4 linked regions of the Notamacropus eugenii genome follow. The protein of the gene in region 3 interacts with the protein of the main gene of each other region in a pairwise test. Links are inferred from orthologs where the notes say so. Each region holds a gene or a part of one and is shown on either strand. Other genes may lie near its edges.

Region 1 (7,662 bases), about 73 Mb from region 3:
TGGGAAAGGTGAGCTTAATAGATGCTTGTTGACTGATCAACTTTCTGAATGGAATAATTTGTCAATGATACAAAATACCATTACGATCATAAATCTTGAAGAACAGACCATAAGGAAACATCCTAATTATTAATTAATTAAGTGTCTCTGACTGTACATATCCTGTATATACTTTCTGTGTTGGGAAATACTAGGGTGGGGTTCTGGTGGTACAAAGATGGCCAAGGAAAGGTGATTTAATGTGGATACAGTACGAATACATACTGTATTATAACACATGACAGGTCAGAATATGATAATCAGTCAATCAACCAGGTATCTATTATATACTTGGCACTGTGCTGTGTGTGATAAATGCAAACCAAAGAGAAACATATAAAATTCTCTGAGAAATTCTGGAAGGGGAAATCTCTTTGACTGAAGGGACCTGGGCAGAGTCCATGGAAGACTCTGGGTAGTCTCCCTTGCGTTGGGCCTTGAGGGGAGATAAGAGTTTTAATCCAAGGCAAAACTGTAAATTGTCACTAAAAGCAGATTGGTTAAAAATATCTTCAGCTAGATTTGAGCAGCAGATGGAGAGGAATGAATGCGAAAGAAAGAAAGAATGAGGAACTAACATTCATTAAATAATGGGTGTCATTGGTATGAACACTGCATTACAAATCATTCTGGGGAAAGGAAAGAAGGGCACGGAAATGCTGAGGGTTAGCACCGAGATTACTGCTCAGATTTTCCTTGGGAGGAGTATGATTCCGAATGGCCAAGAAAGGAAAATAGACTGGTTGAGTTACTTACTTTTCTAGCCTGTATTCTCCGCCCCAGATTATCTTTGTTAAATCTTTTTATTACTCATTGCTTAAAGCACCTATCTACATGAATGCACGCTTTGGCATTCCTTTCATTTTTCTCTCTGGGAACTGATAAAAACCAAGGTCGGTTGACCTTCAATATTATATCTGCCAGTTAGCTCCTGTTCCTAAGACTCCACTGTCAAGGCACATCTTTGGAGCCTCCAGATAGAAGGGCCACAGAGCTGGGAAAAGTAGAGATTTCCCGTTGAAACAGAGAGCTCAGTGGGCAAATGAACTGTATGTTTTACAGCAAACAGAAGTGTTTACTCACGAAGAGGGGGTACATGAGGCAATGAACTTGATATATTTCAAGTGAAAGTGGTTAAGTTTTTGGACATAAATTATTTGGAACATGACCTCAATTCTCCATTTTGCAAATATATATTTATATATTCTGGTCTTCCTGACTCCAGGTCCGGTCTTCTATCTGCTGTGCCCCTCAGCTGCCTGTGTGATGACCCACTCAAACTTCAGACCTCTCCCACTTAGGGATGAACTAATCTATTAACTACATGAGGGCATCATGTCTATGAATGGGAGGGGTGGCAATGAGGAAAAGTGAGCATTGGCATCCTGTGAACCAGGTCTTCTGAACTGCCCCAAATAGAATTCTTGGCTCTAGCAACATGTGCCCTGGGATTTGCCATGTTCTTCCAAGGTAATTATAAGGAAGAGGACAAGTTCCACCCCCATCCCCAACATGTCCATTAGTGAGATGCCTGGTGTAGTGATGGCCATTAGGTTATACTTTCTAGTGAAGCTCACCTCCAGAAAAATACAGACAAAAAGTAAAACGTGTGAAATATCTCTTTTCAGCATTTCCAACCAGATTCCATCTTAATTTGGATTCAGAAAATGCTTTTCCCTCCCCCTTCCTTGTCTTTCTTTTCCTTTCTACCTAGCTTCTTAAAAACTCTTTGATACTAATAATAGTAGAAATGCTATCCGAATAAATTTCAAACCTCCCAAATACAGCTAGGTCTTTAGTGCTGGACTTTAAAGATAACTCCCCAAAGTACCAGGTCCAGTTCTTTCAATCACACCAGCCAAGGGCTCCTTCCATAAAGCTTTACTCTCAGAAAGCATGGCACCTAATAAAAAGAGATACAAAACAAAAAGGAGGGGTGTCATGGAGCAATGGATGGAAATGGCCTCAGACACAGGAAGATATACCGACTTTGGGACTCAGGACAATTCTCTTGGCTCCTCAGAGGTCTGGCTAACTCTCAACTGCTAAGACGGTGAAGACCTGCATTGGCAGAGGAATTCCCTATCAGGGGATCCTTCTAGAACAAAAAACTCACCTAATTTGAACCTTCTGGACCAGAGTTCTTAAATTTGTGTGTCTGTTTGTGTGTGTGTGTGTGTGTGTGTGTGTGTGTGAGAGAGAGAGAGAGAGAAAGAGAGAGAGAGAGAGAGAGAGAGAGAGAGAGAGAGAGAGAGAGAGAGAGAGAGAAAACAAGAGAGAGAGAGAGAATGAGGAAACAAAGAGAGGGAGGAAGGGAGAGAGAGGTGGGTCCCTTTGGCAGTCTAGTGTAGCCTATGGACTCTTCAGAGTAAGTTTTTAAATGTTTAAAATAAAATACATAGGATTACAAAGGAAAAAAAATTTTTTAAAAAGAAAATGTATGAGATTCCTTACAATATTTCAGTCATTGTGGCTTAAAAATCCATGACTCAGTGGCAACCTCAGAGAATTTAGCTATCTGGGTCCTCAGATGAGAATCATGCAGTCTATTGTTAGGCCTGTACTTGTACCATTTCTACCTTTAGTGGACTTGCAGGAGTTGGTGGATAGTTCCTTGTCATTGTCTGTGAGAAGTCAGAGTCATCTGTGGGTCCTGATCAGACCTGGTGGGAGAACTTTTGTGGAGGATCCTCAGCAATAAGTGTTTTGAGTCCACTCCCAGTCTACTAGACTGGCTCAAATGTTTTACTGTGATGTGGAGGTGACCAGGAGTTCCCAAAGATTACAGATGCCTGAGCAGATGCTACCATTTGAAAAAGACTTTGAATGGGAGCCCAAAGGACTGAAGATACTGTGGGCCACTTACCTCCTGCCAGAGAGGGGTTGGATTTAAAATGTGTTGCTGTTCAGTTGTGTCTGACTCTTTGTGATCCCACTGGGGGTTTTCTTGGCAAAGATACTAGGATGGTTTGCCATTTTCTCCTCCTTCTCATTTTATAGATGAGGAAACCAAGACAAACAGAGTGAAATGGCTTGCCCAGGGTCGCATAGCTAGGAAGTATCTGAGGTCAGATTTGAACTTAGAGGAGTCTCCCTGACTTCAGGCCAGGCACTCTATCCATTGGGCCACAGAGTGCCCCATTTAAAATATACAATGAGCCATATCTTTTAGGACTTGGTTAACATGAGGATTTGTTTTTGCAGATTGTGTATATTTATGATAGGTTTTATTTTTCCTTTTTAACTGTCCAGTTGCGGGGTGAGGGGGACAGTGGGAAAGAAAGATATTAGCTGTATGTGAAAATAGATAAATAATTCTTTTAAAAAATTGGAGACTGTCTGTCTCTTGTATCTGAGAGCAACCTAGCTAAATCTGGAGAGCCCATCTCTGAGTTGGAGGTAGGCTGAAACATTTTTTGGTCTTTGAAACTCTCAAAGCTCACTTACTAAGTTTCAGAGGAGGTGTAATCTGTCAGAAGAGCGAATGCTCATGAACCTGCAAATGCTGGACATTTGGTACCTCCTCTTCAAGTATATTTACTATGTTTTCTAAATAGACAAATTATGTTCCATTTGAGAAAACAGAGGCTCTGATGGCTAAAATAATTTGCAGTCTAGGCAGGACTTTGCTTTGATCAAGATTCTTGACTTTCAGCCCAGGGCCCAAATCCAGACAATTCTCTCTCCTACCAAGCAGCAGCAGCAGCAGCAGCAGCAGCAGCAGCAGCAGCAGCGGACAAAACCAGCCTTGAAGTGGGTGACTCTCAGCATCTTCTAGGTCTTTTATTCTGTCTTCTATACCTGGCAAGCAAAGAGGGGACACTAGGCCCATCCCTCCCCCCCCCCCCCCCCACTCTATCTCCAGTAGAATCATCATTCAGGCTACATGTGAAGTCTCTTTCTTCTCCTCCTTCCACACCCCAGAGGGGAAATATTGCTGCTCTCTCCAGAATAAAATGCCGGCACTGTTTAGGAGACAAAGAACAATGGCTCCCTGAGTTGGGGCTCCTAAGGTCAGCTGTCATTCTTGTCTCCTGGGTTTAAGGTCCTCCTAATCCCTTCCTTCTGCCGCAGATTTAGTCTGGGGGCTTGATAAGGGGAATAGCTGCTCTTGGGACCCCTCGGCTGGTCCAGGAGTGGTTGGGGGTCAGTCCTCCCCCTTTTCCCTTTAGAGGTCAAAGGGGCTTGTGTCTTTCTTCCTTACCTGCTCTGACGCCTTGGCACGAGTTTGGTTCGGGGGTTGGGGGGGTGGGTGGGGGCACCGAGGAGAAGGGGACGTTCTGAGAATCAGCCCTGCTCTGTGCGTGTGTGCACGCGTCCATACGAGTGTGCATGGGTGTGCACTCATGTGCCTGCGTGAGCGCGCATGCAGGCACTTGTGTGCCCGCTACTCCGGCCCCGTACCTGGTGGGAGGGCTCCTGGACGACCCAAGGAGCCCCCCAGCTCCCCTGTCTAGCTCTTCTCCCCAGCCTCTGGCTGCTTGCCCGCCTCCAGCACCGAAGAATGTCTCCAAGTGTTGAGAGCCGGTTACCATGGGAACCAGCAGCCGTTCGAGTTAATCATTTCCTGTGGAAAGTGTAAGGGGGTGGGGTGGGGGGGGAGGTCAGAGACGACAGTGTGACATTCCAGCTTCGTACCGGGCGGCCGGGCGGCCACGGGGATGCCAGAGCGGGCAGTGCCCTGTAGCTCCTCCCCAGGGGGCAGGGGAGCTGCCACCCCGGAGGGACCCCGGGCTGGGCAGCGGGGACCAGGTGAGTCACTGGCCCTGATGCCTCCGCCTTTGGGGGGGAGGGGAGTGGGACGTGGGCCCCCCAGCTCCATCTGGAAGCCCACCTTCAGGCTTTTCCAGTCTCCAGCTCGGCTCCCGCTCAGCTCTCTCTTCTCACGCCGGAGGGGCTACGCCTGGGGATCCCTTTCCCTTGCCCAGTTTTGCATCCCCAGGACACCCCGCTCTGGCTGCCAGAGATCCCCCTTAGGGGATCCCGGTCCGGCACACCCGGGTGCTGGAGGGAGGTAGCTGCAGCGGCCTGAGACTGGAGGGGCTTCGGGGGGCGGGGGAAGGGATGTGCTTTGAAAACAACCCCGAGATAAGTCTCCCCTGGATTTTCCTGGCTGCAAGCTTAGGGCTGCAGTTGGGCAGAGAGGGGCGGGGCTCATTTCTGCTTTAAAGCCTTCTCTACCGAGATTCCAAGGTTTAAATTCCCTTACTGGATTGAGTCGGGCGGACTAGCCTGGTCTCTGTGTACCTTGGGGGTGGGGAGAGGTGGGGATCGATAACTGAGACCCTCCTGGGTGATCTGAGTGGAAGAGTGAGGCAGCCTGCCTCTGGGGGGTGGGGGGTGCACACCTCCAAATGAGGCTCTGATGGACTTGGAGAAATACTGGTGCTGAGCTGGGGGCTCCGCATTCTCAGCTCCCTGTCCATCCCGGGGACGCGTTGAAGAGGGGTCCCAGGCAGACGACGTGTTTCGATTTTCTTGGGCAGCTACCAGGACGGAGGCTAGTTATTAAGGTTTAAATGCAAGAGGGCCAGGTGAAGAGTCTTCTGGGAGACTGTTTTCAAAGGAGGGGATCTGTCCGTTTGGAATTTATGCAGGCAGATGCCTTGCGATCGGGGGTCTCCTTTCTGCCTAGTCCCGTCTGTCTTTTGTAAGACTGCATTTTCTCCACCATATATCTCCATCCCCTCCTTTCCACTCCCACCGAAACCACCCCAGTTTAGGCCCTTATTTCTTCTGTCTAAACTATTATAATAATCTCCTGGTTTCCATTCTTCTAATCTTCTCCAAACTGTCCCACTAATTCCACTGCCCACCTGATATGTGCCTTTGCCCATAGCAGTTTCTCTACTCAAAAAACTTCAGTGGCTATCAGAGCATAAATTCCTTACCTTGGCATTCAAAGCCTCCATAATCTGGCTCCCATCTACCCTTCCAGCATTATCTTAAATGAATGTTGTTTGATCTTTATTCATGTACTGTGTTCCAGTCCAGTTGAATTTCTCTAGGTCTCTTTATAAATTTTGTTTTCTCCCATTTCTGTTCCTTTGCTTTCCCCATCTCCCATATCTGGACTCTTCCTCCTCTCTTGCCCATCTTTGGAATTGCATTTCTTTCTTCAAGGACCTGCCCCGTGTCACCTCTTCCAGGAAACCTTCCTTACCTGGCCCTAACCAGGTGAAGGGGATCTTTTTCTGGCCTCTCCTTCACACTACACAGAATCCAAGGAGTTTAGAGATAGAGGCAGTCCACTGAGTCCACCATGTACCTGAGAATCCTTCCTGCAGCAAAAGGTCTTCCGCGACCTTTAAGGTCCAAAGATTTCTATTCGGGGAGAACCTATTCCCACCCAACCCAGCCCATCCATTCTTGGATAGTCCTAACTAGGAAGTTTTGTCCTTATATGAAGCCTAAATCTGCCTCTTTCCACACACTGTGCCCCCATTTTTGCCCTCTGGGGCCAAGTAGACCAAGCTGAATCCTTCTTTTCATAGCTGGCCTTCAGATACTTGAAAAAGAGCCATTGCTTTGCCACTGAGTCTTCCCCTTCTCTAGCCTAAACACTCCCAGTTCCTTCAGCTGATCCTTATATGGTATATATACTCAAGGTCCTCTCAGAATGCCTTCCTGATTACCAATGGCCTTACCAAAGTCTGGCACCCAGAACTGAACCCAACTCCACAAACGTGGACTAGCCAGGTCAAAGTACTTAATATACTGTAGTTTTATCACAGCTTTTCATTTCTGCAGATTTTCTTCTCATTAGATTGTAACCTCAGAAGCAGGTTACATAGTTTGTCCGTCTTTGTGGTGTCTAACACGTTGAATAATAATATCCTAATAATAATATAAACTGGCATTAATATAGCATGTTAAGGTTTTGCAAAGTGCTATACGTGATATGTTGTTTGATTCTTACCACAACCCTGTGAGGTAGGTGCTGTTATTGTAATACATTTTGCAGGTGAGGAAACAGGCACAAAAAGTGACTCGCCCAGAGTCATACATCCATACATGAGGTATTTAACTTGTAGAATTGTTTGTCAATAGTATTTTTCTAACACTCGTCTAGACCTTTTCCTTGACCAGATGGACAGAGTCAGTATATTGAAGTCCGTATTTCAGATCTCGGCTTCCTAAGACAGGAGCATTAGACCAAAGTACATTCTCTACCCTCCCCCAACCCTTCCCCCACAGCCCAGCTTATCAGTACCTTAAGCTCAAGGAGTACATACTCTTGCAACCTGCTCGTCAGTAGCTGGTCTTTTATTGTGTCCTTGAAATAGGCCAGGCTAGTGGCTCTCTGAGGCTAATTGGAAACAAGGCCGTGGGTTGGCTCTATGGCTTGGCCAGCCTACCCTGACCTCCACAGCGCCCCATCCGCATGCTGAATACAGATTGCTGCCTTGGGCTGCCTCTGATAGGAATCTCTCTAGTCCCTTCTCCTCCAACCAGATTTGGGATCCGCCTATGTTTAGGGGCACATTCACACCCATGTTGGTTAGGTTTCTGGCCCGGTACTTGTCTTAGGCTGAAAGTTGGTCCAGGACATCATTAAGCTAAAAAGGTCTAGGAAGGTTGTTGGGTAGGGGACGGTCTTGTTCTCTTGGCTCAAAACTTTGA
Region 2 (7,891 bases), about 110 Mb from region 3:
TGCAGGCAAGTTTTGTTTCTCCCATGGCTTCAACTCCTGTGTGAAATTCTTACATCTGCTTCCCTGCTCTCTGGACCCAGAGAATGGCAGAAGCACCTAAGGAAAGGTATAAGGTGTCCAAAGCTGGAGCAACGCTCTATGAAGTGCTGGAGCTGCCTCCAAGAGCAAAACCTGAAGAGATCAGGAAAGCCTACAGGTCTGCACTTAAGATCTCCTGTCAAGCCTCTTGTATCCTCAAACCTTAGACCATCAGCCCCACTTGCCATCCACCGTTTTCAAATTACTTGACCCTCCCATTGAGACTAGGGGAAGGCAGAAATCCCCTTGTCAGTGTGGATCAAGGAAAAGAGGTTTTCCTGCTTTCCTTGTTACTGAATCTTAAAATATCTAGATTCCTCCCATGCTATCTCTATCCCATGTAATCCATTCATCTTACTTTCCCTTCTTCAATTTGGGCTTGTTGCTCCTCTTTGTGCCCTCCTTCATGGTCAATGGCTGGTAGAAAATTGGCACTGAAGTACCATCCAGACAAGAATCCAGAAGACCCCAATGCGGCAGAGCGGTTCAAAGAGATCAATGCAGCTCATTCGATACTCGCTGATCCTGATCAGCGTCAGATCTACAATATGTACGGTACCATGGGCCTATATATGGCTAACCAGTATGGCTCAGACACTGCCAAAATCTACCTCATTGTGACCAAGTGGTGGTTCAAGGTATGCATTCCTTTGAAATCCCTCCAGTATTTTGGCAACAGAGATGCCTATGCATACACTGAGCATGCTGCCCCATTGCTGTCAGCGTTAGGGAATTTGGGGGTGGGGGAGCATAGACAACACTAGAGAAGCTGTTGGACTGAAGTCATTCTCCCCAATCTCCCAGTGCCTTCTCCTCTTGTGTACACTTCTCTCTTGTTGCTGCTGCTGTTGCTGCTGCTGCTTTTGCTGTGGGATGAATGTACCACAAGAATATGACGATTTTAAGTGTAGAAGGGATCTACAAACACAACATGCAGGCACAGATGTGCAGAAACAACCTTCAAGGACAGGTGAGGCCAAAGGAAAGTGGCCAAGGTGAGATCTGGGCCAAGAGTAAAGGTAGGAAGGTCTGAAATGAGAGGGATCTCTGAACCTGGGGTCCCCTAAAGCTAGGAGAATGAGATCTGGGATGGGATCAGATTGAAAGGTAATCAGGGTATAGAATCTGATGCTTTTTCAAGGTGCATATAATTTGAGTGAATGAAAAAGCATTTATTAAGTGCTTACTCCAAGCACTGGAGCGACAATGCAAATAATGAGATAGTCTCTGCCTTCAAGAAACTTCTAATAGATAACACATTCAAAGAAGTGGTGTCCTGGTAAGGCAGCTTTGGTTCGAGGAGTCAAGGGGACATTGAGTTGATCTATAGAACACTTGATTGACACACCCTTTCCAAAAGCAGGGTGGTATTGTTGATTTGATTACTAAGCGTTAGATATGGAAAAGTGAGGGAGGAAAGGAATGCCAGTAACTCATATGGTGAGATGATCTGGATAAATAGCTGAATAAGATGAGGCACAGTATGGTCTAGGGCTTCCTGGATATATTCTTTATTGATAGTTTGAGTATGATACTTATCCTGTCTAGGGTCTTTGCTGAGTTGGGAGGTGAGCCTAAAAGAAGTCATAGATGAAGGTGGGTTAGGAGATATACTTTTTGATATTTGCTCAAAAGATAACCAGCTTTTAATTTTTTAAATTAAATGTTTGTCAACTGATTTGATTGATCAGTTTAATCTAAAAGTGATCTTAAATTTCTGCCTCATCGCCATCTCAGGATCTCAGGAATAACTTCAGTGTAATGGTATTAAGTATTAGATTAAGACCGGAATTGTAGCTCATTTAAAGAAATGTTTGTATTCCAAATTCCATAGATGGAACTGAATATGCTTTCTCCAATCTGAACCAAAAAATGGATGAAGATGAAGAGGCACAAAATGCAGAAACTGACAAACAATAGTGTTCAAGGAGAAGAGAAGAAAAGGGGCTAAGGCAAAAAATTAGTGAAAAAAGTATATAACTTTATTGTATCTTGATTACAAGTTAAGTAATAAAGGGTTTTTTTCTGTATACTTACTTTAAGGGTTTCATCTTAATATGGTACTTGCTTCTTCTGTTTCCAGATGCTGACCCTGTGAATGTGTCTTCTGCTGCACAGTCTACTGTACACACTGAAGAAGGGGACCTCTAACCCCAGTCCTGATCTTAACCCTGCTCCTGTAAGCACCATGAATGCTATAAGCACTGCTAAACTCTGGCCCTCTCCCTATGAGAACTCTTTCCCTGACCTTCACAGTATCACCAGATCTGGCTAGAATACTATAAATCCCAACACTGTAAGCACCATCCCTATGTAACTTTCCTAACCTGGCCCCAAATCTGAATACAGCTGGAAACAATACCATGTATTTCATGCCATCTCAACCTTGCGAAATCTTGGGCTGACAGAGCTGCCTTCTCCCCAAAAGAATTGTGTCTTGTTCCCATGTAACTTAATGGTAACCACTGGGGTCTGTGTCTCTAAACTGTCTGGGATAATGTCTCCCTCAGAGACAGCTGGTGGTACCTCTGAAAGAGCACTGGGTTAGAGTCATGAAGACCCGAATTCAAATTTGACCTCAGATATTTACTAGCTATGTAACCCTGGGCAAATTATGTAACCTCTGTTTACCTTAGTTCCTCAACTGTAAAACGGGGGAAATAATAGTACCTACTTCACAGGGTGGTCGTGATTATACATACATACATATATGTATATGTATGTATATACACATATATACATATATATGTGCGCATGTATGTGTATATATACATATACATCCACTCAGCACAGTGCCTAGAACATAGTAGGCACTATATAAATGTTTATTCTCCTTCTCCACCCCACACCCTTCAGGGCAGGAGCCACCTTGCAGGGTAGATTCTGTACTTGGACTTTATGCATGAACTGATGCTTCCCTCCATTCCCTTGGATCTGGAATCCCATGGCTGGGCTGAGTCCTAAGCTGACCTTCCTGGGGTGGGCCCCATCTCCCCTTGCCTCCTAGTACCCTTTGTATCTGAACCACTTTATTCCACTGTGACTCAGCTCTCAAGAATGAGAAGGAAGGAAGGAGAAAAGGTTACGATGCTTTGCCAAATACTCTAGTTTCTTTCTACCAGCATTCACCCAGCCTTACCCACATGGTGTTCTTGGGACATAGTCTGTCTTCTTCCCTAAGGTTCTTATTCCCAAGACAGAGGTGTTAATTGCATCCTGGAGGAAAAAGTACTTCTCACAAAACTTTCCCTTTATTATGTCTTCTGTGCCAAAGTATTGGACCCATTTCAGTTGCTTTCCACAAACATTCCACCAAGGGCCAGCCCATATAGCCTCCCCTTAACTTAAAGTGAAAGAATCAAGCACTGTTTTGGAGCAGGAAGCACTGGGATTGAATATACATCAATGAATAAAGAAACTTTGTGCAGTGGATTGGGGACAGAGAAGACAGCCTAGAAACAGTTTGTAGAGATGAGTACCAGGGTTCTGCTACCAGGGTTGACAACTTTAATGACTAATTTGGTGGTATTTGGCAGTTTTATAGAGCTTCGAGGTTATGCCTTTTCTTAGTGGGTTAAAGTTGTTTTCCTTAAGACCTTTGACCCCTATGCCCAAAATGGGTTACAAGTACCTAAATCTTCTTTATACTCACCTCAGTTCTTAACTTTCCCCCCAGATATGGAAGCTTTACTATAACTGACAATCTGTTCATGGGACTATATTTTCTCCACTGCCTATTTCTATTTATTTTCCTTGACTATATGTTCCCCCATAGTGCCAATGCTGAGCCCATCACATGAATAGAAGAGGGCAATTTTTTTCCACATTGAGAGAAATCCTTTCAAATACTAGGCATAAGAGAAGAAGAGCCTGGTCCATGAATCTATCCGGTCTTAAAAATGCACTCCAGGAAATAAATTTCAGGCCTTGATTGGGACTTCATCAGTGTAGGCAATAATGTCTGATTGATGCCTCACTGGTCAAATGGAGGCAAAGTTGGATTCTTTATGACTATGCCAGCAGAACCCAAGCTCTGCTAGGTCCTATCAAAGTTAGAAAGCTTTGAGTATAGGCTGGTGACATAAATTCTCTATATGTCTGAGGACTAACCTAGCTAAGGCCCAAGAGATTCATCATGAGCTTGGTCACAACAAGGTGATTCAGTTTTTTGGTCACAGTAATTCTGGAGGAGTTGTGATCTGTAACTGTAGAATGACTTCCACATTGATGAAATAACTTGTCCTTGAATCTAGGTACCACCAGTTCATTGGATATCAAATTCCAGAATGACTTAGGCAGAGTCCTGGGGGAAAACAGGGGAGGGACTATCTTTTGCCATGAATCTGATAAGATGTGGATAGAGAAAGGAGGTCGAGGGTTACTGTGGCGGGTCCAAGATATATCTAATTCCCATTGTCCTTGTCAAAACTCTCCAGTTCTTGGGCCTTCCCAGCTGCTGAGCCATGGCTGGATGCCTTCACTGGGATTATTTGTAGGGTCATAGTCTTTGTGTCCAGGATAAGGCCCAAACTGGAGTATGACTGAGTAAAAACCAATGGGAGCCCTTTTAGAATTGGTATGTGAGAGACTGAAGTATTCCAAACTCTTTTTCTGGCTCAGGTTTGCCCCCTATTCCCACAAAGGCTCTAGCCCCTCCTCCAGCCCCTAGTCTATGTGACTCAGGGTCACTTGTTTGGTGACAGCTGTGGCTCCCCTTACACAAGCTAAATTGGGAATAGGAATGTGAGAGATTGTGTCATTGAATGCCCCTAGTCTCCCCTATCCCCAAGTTAAAATTAGTCTCCTGCTTTAGGATTAAGGAACAAACAGCAGTGCCTAAATTGTGAGCAATAGTCGGCCATTTGGGGAGCAGGAGATAAGACTATCCCAGGAGTGAGGGGGGAGCCATCTGAAGTGTAAGGGCAAGACAAAATTTTCTTAATCTGCCTGGTCACTCAGAGTAGAAAAGTAAAGATTAAAAAACAGCTCTCCAGAGAGAGAAAATCAATTGGCTGCCTAGGGGCCACGAGGTGGATTGATTAAGGGACAGAACAAGGAGACAGAAACAACTTTTAAGAAAAATCTAGACAGGCTGTAGCAAAAAAAGGGGGGCAACAGCTGAAGACAGACTCACATAGCTGAGAGAATAAGCCAGGTTTGGAAAAAAGACCAAAGAGGGGTGGGCACGACCACCGAGGGGATGAACTTCGCAGTGGGTTTCAAGCCGCTGCTGGGGGATGCACACAGCATGGATAACCTGGAGAAGCAACTGATCTGCCCGATATGCCTGGAGATGTTCTCCAAGCCAGTGGTGATCCTGCCCTGCCAACACAACCTATGCCGCAAGTGTGCCAATGACGTCTTCCAGGTGGGCTCAGAGTCTGGGGTTGGGGGTGGTGGGGAAAGAAGAGGGGACCCGTTGATTATGCTATCAAAGTTGGGGTTTGAAAATTGGATCCACAAGTGCCACTTACCGTGGTACACTGCTTTAGATGGATAGAAGCTTTAGGAAAGAGGTAAGATGCATGAGGGTGGCCAGCTTGTGGCTGAACAGAAAAGGACCTAAGGTGTCTAAGCAGATCACAAACCATAAGAATGTTGACAACACAGGTTTTACTTGTTTTGTATGGTGCTTAGTAGAGTGCCATGCACAAACAATCAAAATACCAGACAAGATAAATACCAGATTTGTGGGTTAGGTGTTAAGTATGGTTAAGTAGATTTAAAATTGGTTGAATGACCAGTCCCTCAAAGTAGTCCTTTAATAAAAACATATTGTGAAGCCAAACAGATTTCCATATTGACTCTGTCCAAAAAAAAAAAGTCTAAATCTGCACTCTGAATAAGTGCATGTTTCATTTAAGAATCTTCTAGAATCATGATTGATCATTGTATTTATCAGGGCTCCTAAGTCTTTCAAAGTTGTTTGTCTTTACAGTCTTTTTGTTATTGAACCAGTTGTTCTGGTTCTGCTCGCTTCACTTTGCATCTACATACAGTTTATACAATTTTCCCCAGGGTTTTCTGAAATCATCCTCTTCATCATTTCTTATAGCACCAACTTCATCACATTCATACATCATAACTTGTTTAGTCATTTCTCAATTGGTGGACACTCCCTCACTTTTCAATCCTTTGCCACTGCAAAATGATCTGCTATCAATATTTCTGTACATCCTTAGCTAATGTTTGTTCTACTTAAGATTACTCTCTCTATTAATTTACCCTCCCTTTTATTCTCCCCCTCCCAATCTTTCCTTTCCTTCTTGTTTCCCTGTTGAGTGAAATACATTTCTGTACTCAACTGTGTGTATGCATTTTCTGTCCTTTGATCAATTCAGAAAAAAGGGTCAAGTATCACCAGCTTCTTCCACCCCTTCCTCCTTGTTTGTATAGATGTCTACTTGGGTACCCTGATGATGTGAGATTTTCCCCATCCTTTCTCTCCTTTCCGTTCCTTTTATTAACCACCCCCTTTTTGTTCTTTTAAGATAAGCCATAACAGAACTACTCCCAAGCGCTCTGTCTAATTAGATGCCATCTCAGACCACTGATAATGATAGGGAACTGAAGATACGTTTACATCATTTTCTCATATTATAATGTAAACAGGTTATCCTTATCCCTTATGATTGCTTGTTCATGTTTACCTTTTTGTATTTCTCTTGACTCATGTATTTATTTGTACTTCAAATTTCTATACAGCTCTTGTCTTTTCATCAGGAATGCTTGGAAGTCTTCTCTCATTAAATGTCCCTTTCCCCCCACCCCCCTGCAGGATTATACTAAGTTTCATTGAGTAAATTATTCTTGGTACGTCTACTTGGCAAGTGGATCATATCCTCTTTTTTTCTGGAATACTTTGTTTCCAAGCTCTCTGCTTCTTCATAATGGTGGTTGCTACATCTTTTTATGTCTCCTCATTCTTCCAGCCTGCTTCCTGACTTTAGACTTTATGTTAGGGTTAGATCCTGCACTCTTCTGGAGAAAAATGCTTGAGCTGACCTTGAATCCTCTAGATTCTTACTATTGCATTCTTGAAGGTATTGAGTTTTGTGTTATTTCAGGATCTCAAAGTAGATCTTCCAGCTCAGTAGAAGCTAGGGATCTGCAAGCTTTTTGTGGTCCCAAAATCATTTGCTCTAAGGCAAATCTGTTCTCTTCCTTCCTAGTCTGAGCTCTGCAATTTCCTGACCTAGATTTGGATCTGAGCAACTCACTTGTGAGCTTGCCCCAGTTTTAATTTCAGTATTCTACTGTTGAATTCAATTACTATTAGCCAACTGGAAAATTCTTCTGGTACAGAGGGACAGAACTGCAAACTCCTTTGGTGATTCCTCTGCAGGCTTCAGATGGGACTGGAGACTGGAACAGAGATCCTTCTCTTCTCCTGAGGTCAGAGCCACAGAGCTGCTACTTGCTCAGTATATAGTCTCAAGTCCACAACCACTCCTCACCCTGGAATACTACTCCTAGTGCAGGTCCCCTCTACAGTCAACCTTAGATCTGTGACCTGAAACTATGTAGTGAGCAAAAAAGTTGCCATTTGACAGCTATTCTTGTACCCTATACACTTGGAGGTCCATTTACTGGATTTAGAATTTCTTCTTGCTCTGGTGTACAGTCTCTCTTTGCACTGGAATGCTTTATCCAGGATAGGCCCCCACAAGCAGTATCTCTAGATCTTTTTGTCTGCCTCCCTGCATTGATAACCTGGGCTGAAAAAAACTTTTTTTTTAATTTAAAGATCAAGATTCAGATCTATTTTCAGGTACAGTGAGAGAGAGTGAACTTGTCTATACTTCTTCCTACT
Region 3 (7,090 bases):
GTTTGTTGAGTGTGCCATTGAATTCCACTCATTTTTTTCCTCAGCGCTACAAGTGATCTTTTTGCCTCGAATTTAAAGAAAAATTATATAAGTTTAAAGAATGATCAGAGGTGACTATAAATAGATGGGCAGATTGTTTGAGGATTTTGTTTTCCAGTTAGCAAAAAAGTCAAGTCAGTAAGCATTTAAGGGCTTGTTGTGTGCTAGCCACTGTGTTAAGCACTGGGGGTGAATATACAAGCAAAAAGATAGTCCTTACCTTTAAGTCCTTACCTTACATTTGGAATGTAAGAGAACCAGGACAAGGGAGCCAAAAAGTTCTATTGGAAACCTTGAAGGGGGGCTATTTTGGTGAAGGCCAGTGAATGAAGGATGGCTGAGTTCCTTTCTCAAAATGTAGTTTCTAAGAAGAACTCACCCGTGGGAGAGTGGGACTACAGGGCTAGAGGGCAAAAATATTGTTATCCATCTGAATTAGGTACTACATAACCTGTATTCGTATTATTGATTCAGCTATCTCAATTAGTGTGATTTTTCCCCTTGGCTTAAATTGTCTACTTTTGTTGTGTTTTTATGGTTAACAATTATTTAGTATTGATTTTCCAAACGTAAGGTGCTTGTATCTAGCATGAAAAGCTCATAGAAAATAAATCTCTACTATCCCAGGCATGCCATGCTATTTTAGGAGGGGACCCCACAATTTTAAGTACTTGTCTTGAGTACACAGTTAGCTAAAGTTACAATGCTTATGTCTCAAATGCTTTCTGGAATGTACTCTGTATGTGAGAATGTAGAAAAGTTTTTGAGTAAGTAAAATTCTTAAAAGGTAAGAATGTACAAGGCAAATAAAAAATGTGATTTCTCTGATATAAAGCCTTTATTAAATCTTTACTAGATTAAATCATTATTTTGTTTATTCTTTTAGTTGTTTAGGAGTATAAAATGGTTACCCTTGCAGTAATTTGTCATCTTGTATTAAGCCACCTATAACATAACATTTAGTCAAATTGGATGGTGAAATTAAACCTTTCATTATCCTACACTTTACATTCACATAGTTCATGTAATCAGTATAAATCATTTGTAGTGTTTGTGTGGAAGAGAAAAGACCCTGAAACATCAAAAACTTGTTTTTTTAGAACTTATTTCAAGCTGCAAGTATATTTTAACATAAATGGGAATATTTAAAGGAGTAAGTAACCTTTCATATTTACCAGTTATACTTTGGGATAAGAGAAAGGCTAGAGCTCTGATCCTACCAAGTAGCTGTGTGGCACACATGAGCAAAAACATCAACAGTGTGATTGATGAAGTTCACAATTTGTTACTTTTTTTACCTCCATTTTTTTCTTTTCATTGTTCTACAATCACTACGATAAAATCCAGATTTTTTTTTCACTCCCTCCTCCCCACCTCCCTGAGACAGCATACAATCCTACATAGGTTCTACCCATACATTCCTATCAAACACATCCTCACCATAGCCATGTTGCATAGAAGAACCAAAATGAATGGGAGAAATCACAAAACAAACCAAAACATAATACAAAAGAAAATGATCTGCATGCTGCGGTTGAATTCCGTAGTTCTTTCTCTGGATGTGGAAGGCATCGCGCCTCAAAAGACCATTGGTCTCCATTTTCTTTTGAAGCTTTTGGTGTTCCTAAGGATGCTGGATTATATGAAATTACCTTTGCAAAACATCCCACAGTACTTCAACTTACCTGATACATTGAGTATTTTAAAAAACCCAAAGCTCTGTTGATAAGACGGTCTTCTACCAAAATATGATTGCCAAACTGCTAAGTAAATCTTGGCTTGAGGCACTGACTTCAAGCTTATGCACTTCTATAGTACTAAGCCTCATTTGTCCTATTCCCACATTCTCATTAAGGAATGATAGAGCATTTATTAAGTGCTTATACGCAGTGCTAATTGCTTGGGTATACAAATAGAAAAATCTCAGCCTATTAAGAGCTTACATCCTAACGAGTGAGACAATACATGTAAAACCACAAGGGAGCAGTGGCCCAAGAACAGATGTACTGGTCTCCAGCCAGTTGGTAGGGTCTTTGCAGAACTTACAAAAGAAGAGGGTAAAGTGGAGGACATAAAGGGTCCTAGAAACCATTTTAATATGGTTATCAAAGCAGAGTGGAAATCTGGGTATTCTTTGAAAAACATCCATGATACCTTCACATTTATTTGCCTTAATTGGTCAGCAAACATCTGCAGGCCTAGTAACCACACAGACTTGAGACTGTTGCACTTCAAAATTTTGGCAGTTAAACAATTGGATCACACAGAAGTCTGATTTTGAGACTTTTGAAGAACAAAGAATCCCTGAACTACATAGGTTATTTGTTTAAAAAAACTTTGTATTAATCTTAAAACTTGACAAAGGTAACAAAAGAACCAGATGATCAGTACACACTGACCATCTAAGAGCAAAAAAAGAATGAGAATGGACAAAGAATCCTAATTTAGACTAAAATGTTACATTTTATGTATTGAGATTATGGTTACAAAGTAAGTTTAACTAGTTATATACAATTTTTCTTTTAAAAATTTAAACTTGTAAGAGTTATAAAGTTTCCTTTTTCAGATTTCCACCACAGCCTCTTGTCCCTAGAGTTGTTCCTGCATAGTCTTATACATAGGAATGTACCCTGGCCCTCAAATCACTTTCCACAAGTTCTGATCCCTGGCTTCCCACCCATGTATTGCTATCTGGTTATCAGCCAGTGCCTCGTTTTTGGGTGAAAAGCCTAACCCTGGGAAACAGTTTAGAAGATCAGTGCTGGGGATGCTTGTACCACGTGATGTATTATTGACTGATTAGGTTGACCGGCCGTTCCTGGACCTCCAGCATGGCCCAAAGGTCCTAATCAGCAGCCACCTTGCTCTTGCTCTGTTCTCCAGGCGCTCCCTCGGATTCCAACAGCGCCTCTGTCGTAGGAAGGTTGGACTTGCTATTGCCCGGTAATAACAGCAATTTTAAGAGTCAGCAAGCGCTTGGCACTGGCATCTACTGTGTGCCAGTCCCTGTGCTCATCCTTTTCGTTTGGTCTTCAAAGTCGTTAGATGTGTAATTATTACCCTCATTTTACAGATAAGGAAACTGAGGCAAAAGGCCATTAAATGACGGGCAGGGTCACACAGCTAGCGGGCCTCTGAGGCCGAGTCTGAACACGGATCAGAACCGACACAGGCCTACACGTTCCTGAAGAGCCAATATGAGTTCATCGGGGCTGCCAGGCGGGTGGGGCACCAATGGATGAGGGAAGGCGGCGCCGAGGACGACGGGGCCCCGGAGGGCTGGGCTGGCTGCGCCCAACATCCGGGGCCCGGGTTCGGCCCCGCACTGCGGGCAGAAGGCCGCATCTTCCAGCGCTGCGGTAAAGGCCCGGAGGATTTCCTGGCCTTGGCTACCCAGGCTGAGCCCCCACATTGCCGCTAAAGGGATACATTATGCACAAGCCTCGCCGTAAAAGGAGGCCTCCTAAACGAAACCCGCAGTCCCTCTCTCTAAAAGCGGACAAAGTGCGGCACAACCTGGGGCTGCCATTGGCCTTGCCGGGCGAAAGAAGGAGGGACAAAGAGCTGTCGCTCCCCGGTTGGTCCTTTCTTTGGCTCCCGCTGGCCAATCCTCAGGAGCAATACCTTTTCTTTCGCCCGCCCACCCGGCAGCCCTGTCGGTTGAGGCGGCCACCATCTTCCCGCGGGGGCGCGCAGCCTGCCGAATCGAGCGCGCGCGCGTTTTCTTTCCCAAAGGAGACCAATTCGAGGAACGCTGTGTGGCGCCCTCTAATGGGCTATCCGCACGAGTCGTCATGTCCTTAATCCCCCGGCAACTACGCTGAGACCTGGAGGCGGGAGGGGAGGGGAGGGACACTCTTGAGCCAACGGTTAAAAAAAGCGGGGTGGGAGGGGGCAGGCCCCCACGAGCTCGCAGTTGTCCCTAGGGAGCCCTGGTTCCCTGCGCTGGGCTTCGAGGCGAGGCCTTAGGTCCCTCGAGGGCTCCCGTAGCGCGGCGTGCGGCGTCCCGGGTGACAGCGTCCCGGTAACGGCCCCGCCCCCTGCGAGGAGCCGCCCCCTGCCGGCCCAGAGTTCGCTCTGCCCCAACCTGGGCCGGCAAGCGCCGACGTCCGGGAGCCATGGCAGCTCCCCGGCGAGCTCCAGCGCTCGCCTCCTTCGGTTTCCAGGCCCCACTGCAGCCGCGCTCCAGGTCGCCACGCGTCGACTTCTACGAGCGGGAGCGCGCCGGCGGGACCCCGGAGGAAACGGCGGCGGAGGAGGGGGAGGTAGGGGGCCCCGGGTAGGGGCTGGGGCGGAGACCCTGCGCAGACCCCCGGCCCTGACCCTGGCCTTCGGCCGGACCGCGTCATCCTCCTTCCTTCTCCCGAAATGCTTCTCAGTGGGAGGAGGAAGGTGGCCTAAGGATCCCAGCATGCCATCTCCCGACTCCGTGCTTTTGCACTGCCTGTGCCCTCCCCCATGCCTAAACTGCTCTCCCTCTCCTTATCTTCGTCTTCTGGCTTTCTAAAAGTCTCAGCTCAAAGCTCGCCTTGGGCAAGAAGCCTTTCCTCTCTCTGAGATTACCCCTCCCCCCTCCCATTTATTTACGCCAGAGGTATCTTGTACAGATATAGTTGTTAATTCCCCCTTTAGGCTGGGGGCTCTTTGAGGGCAGGAGCTACTTTTGCCTTTATCTGTACCATCGATGTCTGATAAGTGTATATTGCCCCAGCATTGGAATGTGAGTACTTTGAAGGCAGGGACTCCTCTTTTAATCTCCGAGCTTTGCATAGTGCCTGGCATATAGTAAGCGCTTAATAAGTGCTTGTTGACTGACAAGCAGTACCTAACGGCTTTAAAAAACAATTCTTGTATATTTAGATGCAGTGCCTTGATTTTATTTTAGGGAGTACAAATTACTATTTTATTTGACTTCAGTACTTCTCTGATGTATTGGAACAATTGTTTCTGCTGCACCACTTTCATACTTGAGGTTTGATGTGCCCTCATAATTGAAAGCCTGTAGAAAAATAACAACTCTGACCATGCCTCTAGTCTGCTGTCTAATGAGAGTTATGTAAGTTAATGTATTATATGAGGCTTACTGATAGTAGGGTCTTATTTAGCAAAAAAAAAAAAATGCAGAGGAAGACAAGTTGGATATTGTATTGTGGAAAATACCAAGAGTTCAATCTAAAAAACAGATGGAAAAATGAACAAGGAATCATTGAATTAATTAGTGATATGTCATTTTCTTCTTCTCACACTTGTGTGCCTAAGATTTTGTTTTTGGTCAAAAAGATTACAGAATCGTAGATCTAGAATTGGGAAGGGATCTAGAGGTCCACAGATGGATGGATGAAAAAATGCTAAGTGTTAACTGTGAGCCAAGCCCTGTGCTAAGCCCTTCGGAGATGTGCAGAAAAGGCTAGACAGTCTCTGCTCTCAGGGATCTCCTACTCTAATTAGGGGAGATGATGTGATCGTGTTGAAAGTTCAGCTGCAGGGCAGATGGCAAAGACCAAATCCCTAAACGGATTTGAGGTGAGGGGCAGACAACAAGACCCAAGGGTTCCAAGGTTATGTGGTTAGGTCAGATGACAGACAGGATGTAGTAACAGGGTGGGTGGTAAGGCCTGCTGGACGTCTCCTTTCACTGGAAACGGTAGTTGGTGACCTCCATGTCACCCAAACCATTTGAGTAGGCCAGCAGCCTGTGTGCATCTTGGACCAATACATCAGGATGGCAGCAAGGGGATAAGCCCACCCTGGCCACCATGGGTTCTGGGGGGAAGGCAGCATTTGCCCCTTGCTTTCCCCCTCTATTTCAGAACCCATCTAGGAACTCATTTGGCAGAAAAATGTGGAGAGGCCCCCTGTTATTATGTTCCAGATGAAGAAATCGAAATTCATCGAGGTGAAAAGACTTGCCCAAGGTCCCACAGATAGTAATCACTGGAGGCAGGATTTGAACCCAAGTCTTCTCATTACAGAGCTAGGGCCTTTTCTGCTGCACTGTGCTTAGGTTTCAGTATCTTTATGTGTCCAGAACACCTATCTACTGGATGATGAATATACTTCCCTTTATTTCTTTCACATACACTACTGAACAGGTGTCCATCTAAAACTTCCAGCTAAAAGCCATCAGTCTACTTGTATAGATCTCCACTCACAGCTTAGAATGCATTCATGCCATATGTCTGAAGCTTCTCAGCTACCAAAAACCAAAAGTTTAGAAAATTTAAATCTGAAGGCAGTTAATAATAAATAGGTCTCACTTGAAGGTTTGGTCCTTATGACCCTATGAGGTATAGTTATTTCGGTTCAGTTTGCTTAATTTTAATCTAAGTTTTTTAGAATTTGCAATATACAAATTTAACTTAACTGAGTTAAGAGGGCACCACAAGTGGTTTAGGGACACAATGTGGTATAGAAGCAAAAACCCTGGGTAGGGGAGCCAGAAGACCTGAATTCAAATGCCATTTCTACCTCTAAGTAGCTGTGTGACCTTGGGTATTTCTTTTAAACTGTCTAGGCCTCTGTTTCCTCACTTGTATAGTGATGCTGGACTAGATGACCTCTCAGGTTATAGCCCTTCTAAAAACTAAAAGGGTGATATGGGGGCTTGGAGTAGACTGTAGCCAGCCAGTGGGTAGTGTATACCTGGAGAAGAAACACTAAAGAGAGTAGAGGAGTTAGCAGGGTGACAGCTGAATTCAGCAAACATGTTGACTATCACAGGAACATGGAACTAGTACTGAAATGATCCTCTGAGACTAACCCCACCATTTTACAGATGTAGAGAGTGGTCAGAAATCTGTTATTCCTACATGCCTACTATGTGCTAGACACAGTGCTGGGCACTGGGGATACAAAGACAAAACAGTCTGTCCCTAAGGAGCTTAAATACTATAGTAGGATACATATGTACACACTGAAAGAGATATATAATACATAGGAAGTACATACAGATATTTCCAAAAGAAACTTGGTTTGAGGGCAGGGCACTTGGGGCATGAAGGGACAGCCTGTGAATCCCTTTGGCAACTGTATGAAGGATGAGATTGGAGAG
Region 4 (7,614 bases), on a different chromosome or scaffold from region 3:
TCCCCTGGGCAATAAGACTATCCCTCCTTTGGGCGTTTCCTTAATTCCAACATAGCTAATGCAAAAACAAAGACAAAAATGTTAAAAACAACCCCTTTTTCTGTCTTGTGCAATCATTGCTAACCTGAATTCTTTCTGGACTTTAGGGCAGGTCAGCATTATCCTTCTGTATTCATTCGCAAATAACTCAGGTAATTTATTTCACCTTTACTTTTTTTCTAGTTTTCGGAATAATTTTGTTTTTTGCCTTCAGAATTTTATTATATGATTTGATTTATAAAAATTCAATACATACTTTTTAAAAAACAATGAATCTATAACATAAAACAAAGTATTTCTGTATTAAGTAGGAAAACACAGGAAAAGATTAGAAATTTTCTTAGAACACTATTACTCATTGGAAACTTCGGTCTATTAATGTGTGTGTGTGTGTGTGTGTGTGTGTTTAATGTCTGTGGTAAATGAGAAAAGGAAAAAATGTAATTTAGATAGTATTAAGATATGATCTCCTATGTATTATAATTCAAATCATATTCGGGGCATTTCAGGTTCTTTCTTGCTTCATATTTCACCACTTTGTTCACTCATACTATCATTTTAGCTTAATAAAAACTTTCTCTTTGCTTCTACTGGCTCACAGAACGGTTTCCACTAAAGATGCTGAGCATGTTTAAACAGACAAATGAAATAGCCCACGTTCAGTTCTCTTCGTGATTATTTGCCAAGCTGTTTTTCCTGCAGAGGTGGCCTAAACCTGAAGGCAAAATATCATGCACAGATACTCTTAAATGGTGATGACTCAGTCCAGATCCCCAGCCTATTCCAGTCTGTGATTATATATCAGAAGGTTGTTTGGTAAGCACTGAATCAGAGCAAAAAGAGCTAGAACTTTCTATGGGAATAGCTCTCCTCCATTTACCTGTTCCTCACACTGTATCCTGGAATGGTTGTTGATAGAATCATTAGATGACGTAATTTAGAGTAGAACACAATTATAGTATATTCATTATTACTTATATTTGTGTATGCTCAGGAGCAGAAGCTGTGGTGACAAATAATTGCTGGGGAATCCTAAATAATTGACAATGGCTTCATTCATCAATTCATTTATTTATTCAATAAAAATTTACTGAGGAGTTACTGTGTGCAAGCCACTGTGAAGAATATATATCTGAATAAGACATAGGTAGGTAGTCCTATACAAGTTCTTTATGATTTAGTAAGGGAAATAAGATATGTTGACATTGAAAATGGACAGAAAGAGACAAGAGAGAGAGAGAGAGAGAGAGAGAGAGAGAGAGAGAGAGAGAGAGAGAGAGAGAGAGAGAGAGATAGCGCAGATCAGCTAGCTAGTTGCTCAGGCTAGCCTCTGTAAGAAGGCAGTATTTTGATGGCCTTGCCTTCCTCTACACCATGGCTATTTCTGTCTAGATAACTGGTATGAGTCATTAAAATCAGAGTACCCAGTTATTTGTGAACTGATTCTGCCCAATAAAGAGGAGTTGGCTGCCAAAGTTGAAGTGATAGGAACCTTGGAAAGAAGTGATCAGTATATCTTAGAGTTTGTGATAAGTAAGGGAAGGAATGCAGGGCAAACCCTGAACTTGGGAAGAATAGATTTCACAGATTGTATAGATAGGATCCCATTCCTTCAAATTTTATAGGGGAAGTTGGATCAAAAGTGATGGGATGCTGTTAAGGAAAAAATTTGATGACACAAACGCTAGTGATTCTGATGAAGAATAAAAGGGAGAAAAGTCTTAAAAGAGTGATGTGGATGCACAGAAAACTTCTGGACCAACTTGAACTCCAAAAAAGGGATGAAAGAAGATGAAAGCAAGAGAAGTTTACTGAGGATGAATGCAAAACAGTAGCATGGTCCTACAAGAATAGTGCTAGGTGTACTAAAGCTCAGAACAAGCAAAAGCTTTCAAAGTATGCTAAGGAAAACAAAAAGAACAGATGATGGAGATAAGACAGAACTACTCAACACATTTTTTCTATTTTATTTTTACTAGGAAGAACAATCTTCAGTTGGACACAGATAGAAGAAAAATGATTAATGAGGAACTGAAATCCATGATAATTAAGGAAATGGTAAGAAAGTGCCTCCTTGCCTCGAATAAGCTCAACTCTAAGTGCAGATAAACTACATTTCTGAATACTAGGAGAACTAACAGGTGTCATTGCCCACTGAGTTGTAATCACCCCCCAATTTTTTAGAAAATTGTGGAAAATGAGAGAAGTAGTACAGGATTGGAGAGGGATTAAGGTCCCAGTTTTCCAAAAAAGAAATAGGATAATTCATCAAGTGATTGATTGGTGAGCCTTACTTTGATTTCTGGAAAATTCCAGAATATATTAATAAAGAGAGAATTTATAACAATTTAGAAAGAAAAATCATGTTCCCTAAGAGTAGGCACAGGTTTATCAAGATTAACTTGTGCTAAACTAAATTCAGTTCGTTTTTCTGATTGATTCAGTGGATAAGGGAAATGCCACAGACACGATATACTTAAGCCTTAGCAGGCAGTTGATAAATTATCATGATATCTTTATAGATAAGAGAAATGTAAATGATATACTATGAACAATCTGATGGAATAAGAGAGTTTCCTATGTCCACTAAGCAGGTTTAAGCTGGAGAGGGGTGGGTGACACATCAAGATTTAATATTGACAAGCTGGAAGGATGGGCAAGATCTAATAAGAAAAAGCTCAGTAAGTAAAATAAGGAAGATAGAAGTAAAAATATTTTTAAAAACCATTCACTTGGGCAAGTTTAAAAAATAAACTGCAGAAATATCACATTTCTAAAACCACCATTACAGAGGAAGGATGAATAGTCAATAGTATGAGTGAAAAAATTCTGTATTGGTGTACAGTAACCTCAATATGAGTCAACAAATGATAGGATATGGATGATAAAAAAAAAAAGGTAATGTAATCTTATGTAGAATTTAGAGAAGCAGAGCGTAAAGAATATGGGGGAGACTGATCATGCTACTTTCTGTTTTGATCAGTTGGAATATTTCGATAAGCTCTGGTGGAACATGGACAGTTGCTTGATGGAGATTGTCTATTATGGTAAGAAGGTTAGAAACTATGCCAAAGGAAGATCAGTTGAAGGAACTAAGTCTGGAGAAGAGAATTTGGAGTGACAGGAAATCTGTCTTCAAGGATTTGAAGAGTGGTTATGTGCAAAATGGATTAGAAGTGTTCTCTTTGGTCCGGAGCTGGGGCAAAGTGGAGGAATAGGCAGATTGCAGAGACAGATTTTGTCTTAATATAGGAAAAACTTCCTAACAAATTTGTCCAATGACAGAGGCTGCTTCTCCATCACTTAACAATAGGGAAAAGGCCTAGACCTGTGATTTCAAATTCGTTTAACTACTCCCAGAAGAGGAAGCACCCCGTAGTAATACCAATGGGTACTTTCTTGACAATTTATGTCCTAAGAGAGTTGCCTTGAGTGTGGAGAGGTTAAATTACTTACCCAGAGTCACACAATATGGGTCAAAGACTTGGTTTTAAGACCAGCTCATTATCCAATGTCGCCTAGAAGAATCACTTCACAAACAATGTGTTCTGAAGGCAACCCCCCAAATATGCTGACCTTAGCTTCTTTACATCTCCTTGCCCTACCCTTAATGGTTCATCATTACCAACGGGAAACTATGGTTAAATTCACCTATTGGACTTTTTATGTTTGCCCATGTTTGGCTACAGTAACACCTAACGTGTTACTATTTAAGAAAGGAAAATAGCCCAAAGAAAGTACTAAGTGTATTTGAGGTTATTTTAAAAGGAGAGTAGTCATGGTTTTGCCTTTCTTTGTATCTTAAGTGCTGGGCACATAGTAGGTGCTTATGGACTTGTGACTTATCCAGACAGGTAGATGAGGCTTATCGAGATCTTGATCCGGGATGGCTATTTTGGTGGTTCTTTGGACAGTTTTCTTTTCAGCATCACTCTTTGGAGTACACCTCCCAAGTTTCTCTTCTTTTTCCTTTCTTTTTGCACTTTTTCATCCCCAAATCAGAAGGAGGGGGTTGGAAGGTAAGAGAATTACTCCATTTTCCACTCAGAACCCTATTCCCACGTGCCACCGGTTAGATGCCATATTTCGATGCTACCACTGCCCGCTCCCAACATCGTCCATTCCCCAAAGTCGCAAGTCGGGCCAACTGGAAGATCTTTTGGGGATGGAATGTGCACTTTTCACAGCTCCATTTTCTTCTTCTTACTCTATTATACCTTTACGGGAAGTCTCGGATTTGGAAAAAAGCCCCGAAACAGTTTTTCAAGCTGACGAACTCCTTTGTCCTTGTCCCGATTTCTTATTTTAGTTACAGCAAACTGCCAAAAATCCTACGAAAATGTGAAGCCTGCATTTTCATGCCTCCTCTTCCTTTCCTTCAATAAAATTCACCATCCTCTGCATTTTACAAGGCATCTCGGATTTTATTTTAAAGCTCCCATCCCTGTCCTGCCGAATTCCTCTGTCCTCTGCTTTAGGAGTGTTTCGACTTGTTTTTTCACCCTTCAGAGCAGATATAGGGGCACACAGAAGCTAATCGAAAAGAAGATTTGCGCATCGAATCCTTGTTTTTCATATTTCTGGCATGCCAAGCCACCGAAATGGGTAGGGTCGACACTTTTTCACTGTGCAGGCGTAACTTTGGCATCTCTTCTGCTTCTACCACTCTCAGAGGCACGTCTCTCATCTTGTCCAATTTTTTTCTGGGCAGGAGTCGCTCTTCCTTTCTTTCTCTAGCCTTTCTGGTCTATTTTTGGAGTGCTGACTTCTTCCTTTGGGGCTGGAGTCTGCATCCAGGCGTCCTGGGAGCCTGACCTAATTCTGGAAGTCAAGTATTGTCATCCTGTCGGTCTCCCTTTGCCAAAGCTCATGGTTGGGCTCCAGAAGAGGAAAAAAACCTTCTCGTCTAGAGTTGTTGGCGCGTGTTCGCTTCGCCTCTTTAGAAAACAAAGCCAAGAAATGCCTTTTCTTGCTTATCCCGAGCAAGGACTTGGAGTGTGAGTGGAGCAGAGAGCAGGAAGAGCCTGGACAAGCGCTCCCAGGGATTCGCAGGCTCTAACAGGTGCGTCGCTGCAGCTGCGCTCCCATCCCAAGCCTGGAGTGTAGGGAATAAGACTTTTCAAGTGCAAGGGGAAGGGGGTGGAGCCAATGGGGAGGCCCAATCAGGTCAAGTAGGCCCCGTTATTTATCTCCTAGCAACCGAGGGAACCAATGGGAAGGAGCCTAGGTGGTGGAAGGCGAGGGGGAGGGGTGGGAACAGCTCAAACCTGCGGCCCTAGGGAGGGGAGGAAGCGCAGAAGGGGGCGGAGCCTAAGCTGGGGAGACAGTAGAGGAGGCGGGGCTTGCAGGAGGGAGTCTCAGCCTGAGGCGCCTCATTCTCGGGCCTGGCAGTTGGGGATTGTAGCTGCAGAGGGGAGTCTGGTGGTCGTAAGGCAAGGAGCCCCCTCCCCCACGCACCCCCCCCCGCCCATGGGGGGGGCCATGACTGGTGAGCGTCCCCCCCCCCTTAGGGTGGGGTCACTGTGACGTGCCCAACAAGGGCCCAAGAGCCTGGGTGAAAAGGAAACCATTGGTTGGGGGAGGGGGTTGGGGTTGGAGGTGGGGGGCTGGGGTGGGGGTGGGGGGGTGGGAAGAAGTGCCTTCTCTGCGGCTGGGTATGCAGCGAGGTGGGGGCAGGGCAGGGAGGTGAGTGTGGCCGCCGCCCTGGCACCTGGATCTCTGCCCCTCCCCCTCTGGGAGGCGCCGTTGGGGCAGCTGGCCCGGGGTGGGGGGTGGGGTGGGCCCCGAGGCCCAGATCGGCTCCTGCCCCCCTCCCCCAAGCCCATCCCCCCCGCCCTGCAGGGGTGAGGGGCGCTAGAGGAGAGCGCTCCAGATGAGGGGGGAAGGGAGGGCGGGGGCGGGGGGGGCACGACCCACGCGACGGACAGGTGCCAGACACCGGAGGGAGGAAGGGCCGAGCATCGACGTGGGGGGAGGCGGCGTGGGCAGGGCCATCGCCTCGCTCCCTCCCTGCTGGAGGGACAAAGGAGGGACGAGTGGGAGGATCCCCTTGACGCGGTGGGGAGGGGTCTCCCTGGGAGGACCCTCAGTCGCGGCGATGCTGCTGTCGGAGCCGCTCCGCTCGAGGCTGGCAGCCCCATGCTTGCCTGGTGGCCTGGACGAGGCTCGGCGGTGGGAAAGCCCCCCTGGGGCTGGGGGCGGCCCGGGGGACCCCAGCCCTGGGCCAGCCCCTCCGGCTCCCTCCGGGGAGGCCCCCTGTCGTGGGCAGCGCGGGGCCGGGGCCCGGGGGGGCCGCGAGGAGGCGGCTCGGCTCTGGAAGGCTGAGATGCGATAGTGGACTGCCGGGAGTCGTCCTTCTGCTGTGTGTTTTCGGAGCGGTGTCGGGCGAGCGAGTAGGGCTCAGAGCGGGGGCCCGGGGCTCGGGGGGGGGCCGGCCGCGGGCTGAGGGCATTGCCCCGGGCTGGCCGCGGTCGGGGGGCCCGGGGGGCCGGGGGCAGGGGCGTGGGGGCTGTGTAACGAGGACCCGGGCTCGGAGAGGTGCTGTGCTGTGCTGCGCGGCTCGGCTAGGTGCACCGCTCGGAGCCGGGCCCTGGCGTGCTGCGGCTGCCGAGCCCAGCGCGCCGGGCCCGGGCACGGCCGTGCGATGTGGTGCGGTGCTGGGTGCCGCGAGCAGATGGAGAAGTGTGGAACGAGGCCTGGTGCCAGAGGCTCGTGCTGCAGCAGCCGGGTGCGTGCTGCCAGGCGGCCGCGCTCGGAGCACAGAAAGCTCGGGAAGGGCCCGCGTGGCGCAGGGCCGCACTAGGGTGCTGCTGCGAGCGCACGGCGTGCTGGGCTCCCGAGCGGTGCCGGAGGGTGCTGCCGGGCCACGTGCAGTGCCGGGCCGGCGGGGCTGCCCTGGCGCGCGGTTTTATAGAGTGTGGGCACCTGGGCAGTGAGGTGTCAGGGAACGTGGCGTTGCGCTCGGAGCGCTGTAGTCATGCTGTGGCACGCGGCGTGTTGTATAACGCTGTCCTGCTTATCTAACGGTACTCTGCTTGGGCTGCGCTGATCCTAATGTGGCCTACAGCTTAGAGCGGTTAGATAATACGGCATTAGACTACTTCAAGGGGCAACGTGATATTATATAATGTGATATCATAGTCAGTGCTGTAATAATATTGTAGCATGCTACCAGAGGGTACTGGAATGGTACCGTACTAGGGTTAGCTTGTTATATAGCGTGATGTGCTTTTAGTACTGCAATGATATAAAATACTATTTAGGACACCATAATATTACAACGTATTTAATTACTGTAATAATATATATGTAATTATGATATAAAAACTCAAGCACTGTAATATGTAACATAGTATGTTTAAGAGTTCTGTGATAAAATTGTTACGCTATTCAATGCTATGTAATATTCCATACTAAGAGTACTATAAAACATATTAGACTTAGAGTACAACGTGTACTACTTAAAGTATATAATTTGCTTTTGTTCAGTTGCGTCTGACTCTTCATGACTCCAGTTGGGGTTTTCTTGGCAAAGATCCTGGAGTAGTTTGCTGTTTTCTTCACCAGCTTATTTTA

Evidence for each region.
Region 1: the proteins of FAM161A (region 3) and KIFC3 interact in binary tests that used the Homo sapiens proteins (3 or more experiments, as listed by UniProt). The link is inferred for Notamacropus eugenii from reciprocal best matches to the Homo sapiens genes FAM161A and KIFC3.
Region 2: the proteins of FAM161A (region 3) and TRIM54 interact in binary tests that used the Homo sapiens proteins (3 or more experiments, as listed by UniProt). The two-hybrid records come from large-scale screens. The link is inferred for Notamacropus eugenii from reciprocal best matches to the Homo sapiens genes FAM161A and TRIM54.
Region 4: the proteins of FAM161A (region 3) and SSX2IP interact in binary tests that used the Homo sapiens proteins (3 or more experiments, as listed by UniProt). The two-hybrid records come from large-scale screens. The link is inferred for Notamacropus eugenii from reciprocal best matches to the Homo sapiens genes FAM161A and SSX2IP.

Annotation. Positions count from the first base shown.
Region 1 is NC_092872.1:716,304,009-716,311,670, forward strand, and holds the start of KIFC3 (kinesin-like protein KIFC3), read left to right. Parts: upstream 1-4,652; 5' UTR 4,653-4,791; intron 4,792-5,387; exon of another isoform or gene 5,388-5,540; intron 5,541-7,662. Other genes in the region: uncharacterized protein, read right to left, coding at 1,871-1,942, 3,730-3,840, 4,244-4,574. UniProt on the Homo sapiens protein: Minus-end microtubule-dependent motor protein. Involved in apically targeted transport. Required for zonula adherens maintenance.
Region 2 is NC_092872.1:528,547,394-528,555,284, forward strand, and holds the start of TRIM54 (tripartite motif-containing protein 54), read left to right. Parts: upstream 1-4,879; 5' UTR 4,880-5,278; coding exon 5,279-5,446; intron 5,447-7,891. Other genes in the region: DNAJC5G (dnaJ homolog subfamily C member 5G), read left to right, coding at 84-196, 503-716, 883-1,048, 1,913-1,998. UniProt on the Homo sapiens protein: May bind and stabilize microtubules during myotubes formation.
Region 3 is NC_092872.1:642,870,925-642,878,014, forward strand, and holds the start of FAM161A (protein FAM161A), read left to right. Parts: upstream 1-4,079; 5' UTR 4,080-4,157; coding exon 4,158-4,304; intron 4,305-7,090. UniProt on the Homo sapiens protein: Involved in ciliogenesis.
Region 4 is NC_092873.1:493,726,396-493,734,009, reverse strand, and holds the start of SSX2IP (afadin- and alpha-actinin-binding protein), read left to right. Parts: upstream 1-4,597; 5' UTR 4,598-5,527; intron 5,528-5,671; exon of another isoform or gene 5,672-5,724; intron 5,725-7,614. UniProt on the Homo sapiens protein: Belongs to an adhesion system, which plays a role in the organization of homotypic, interneuronal and heterotypic cell-cell adherens junctions (AJs).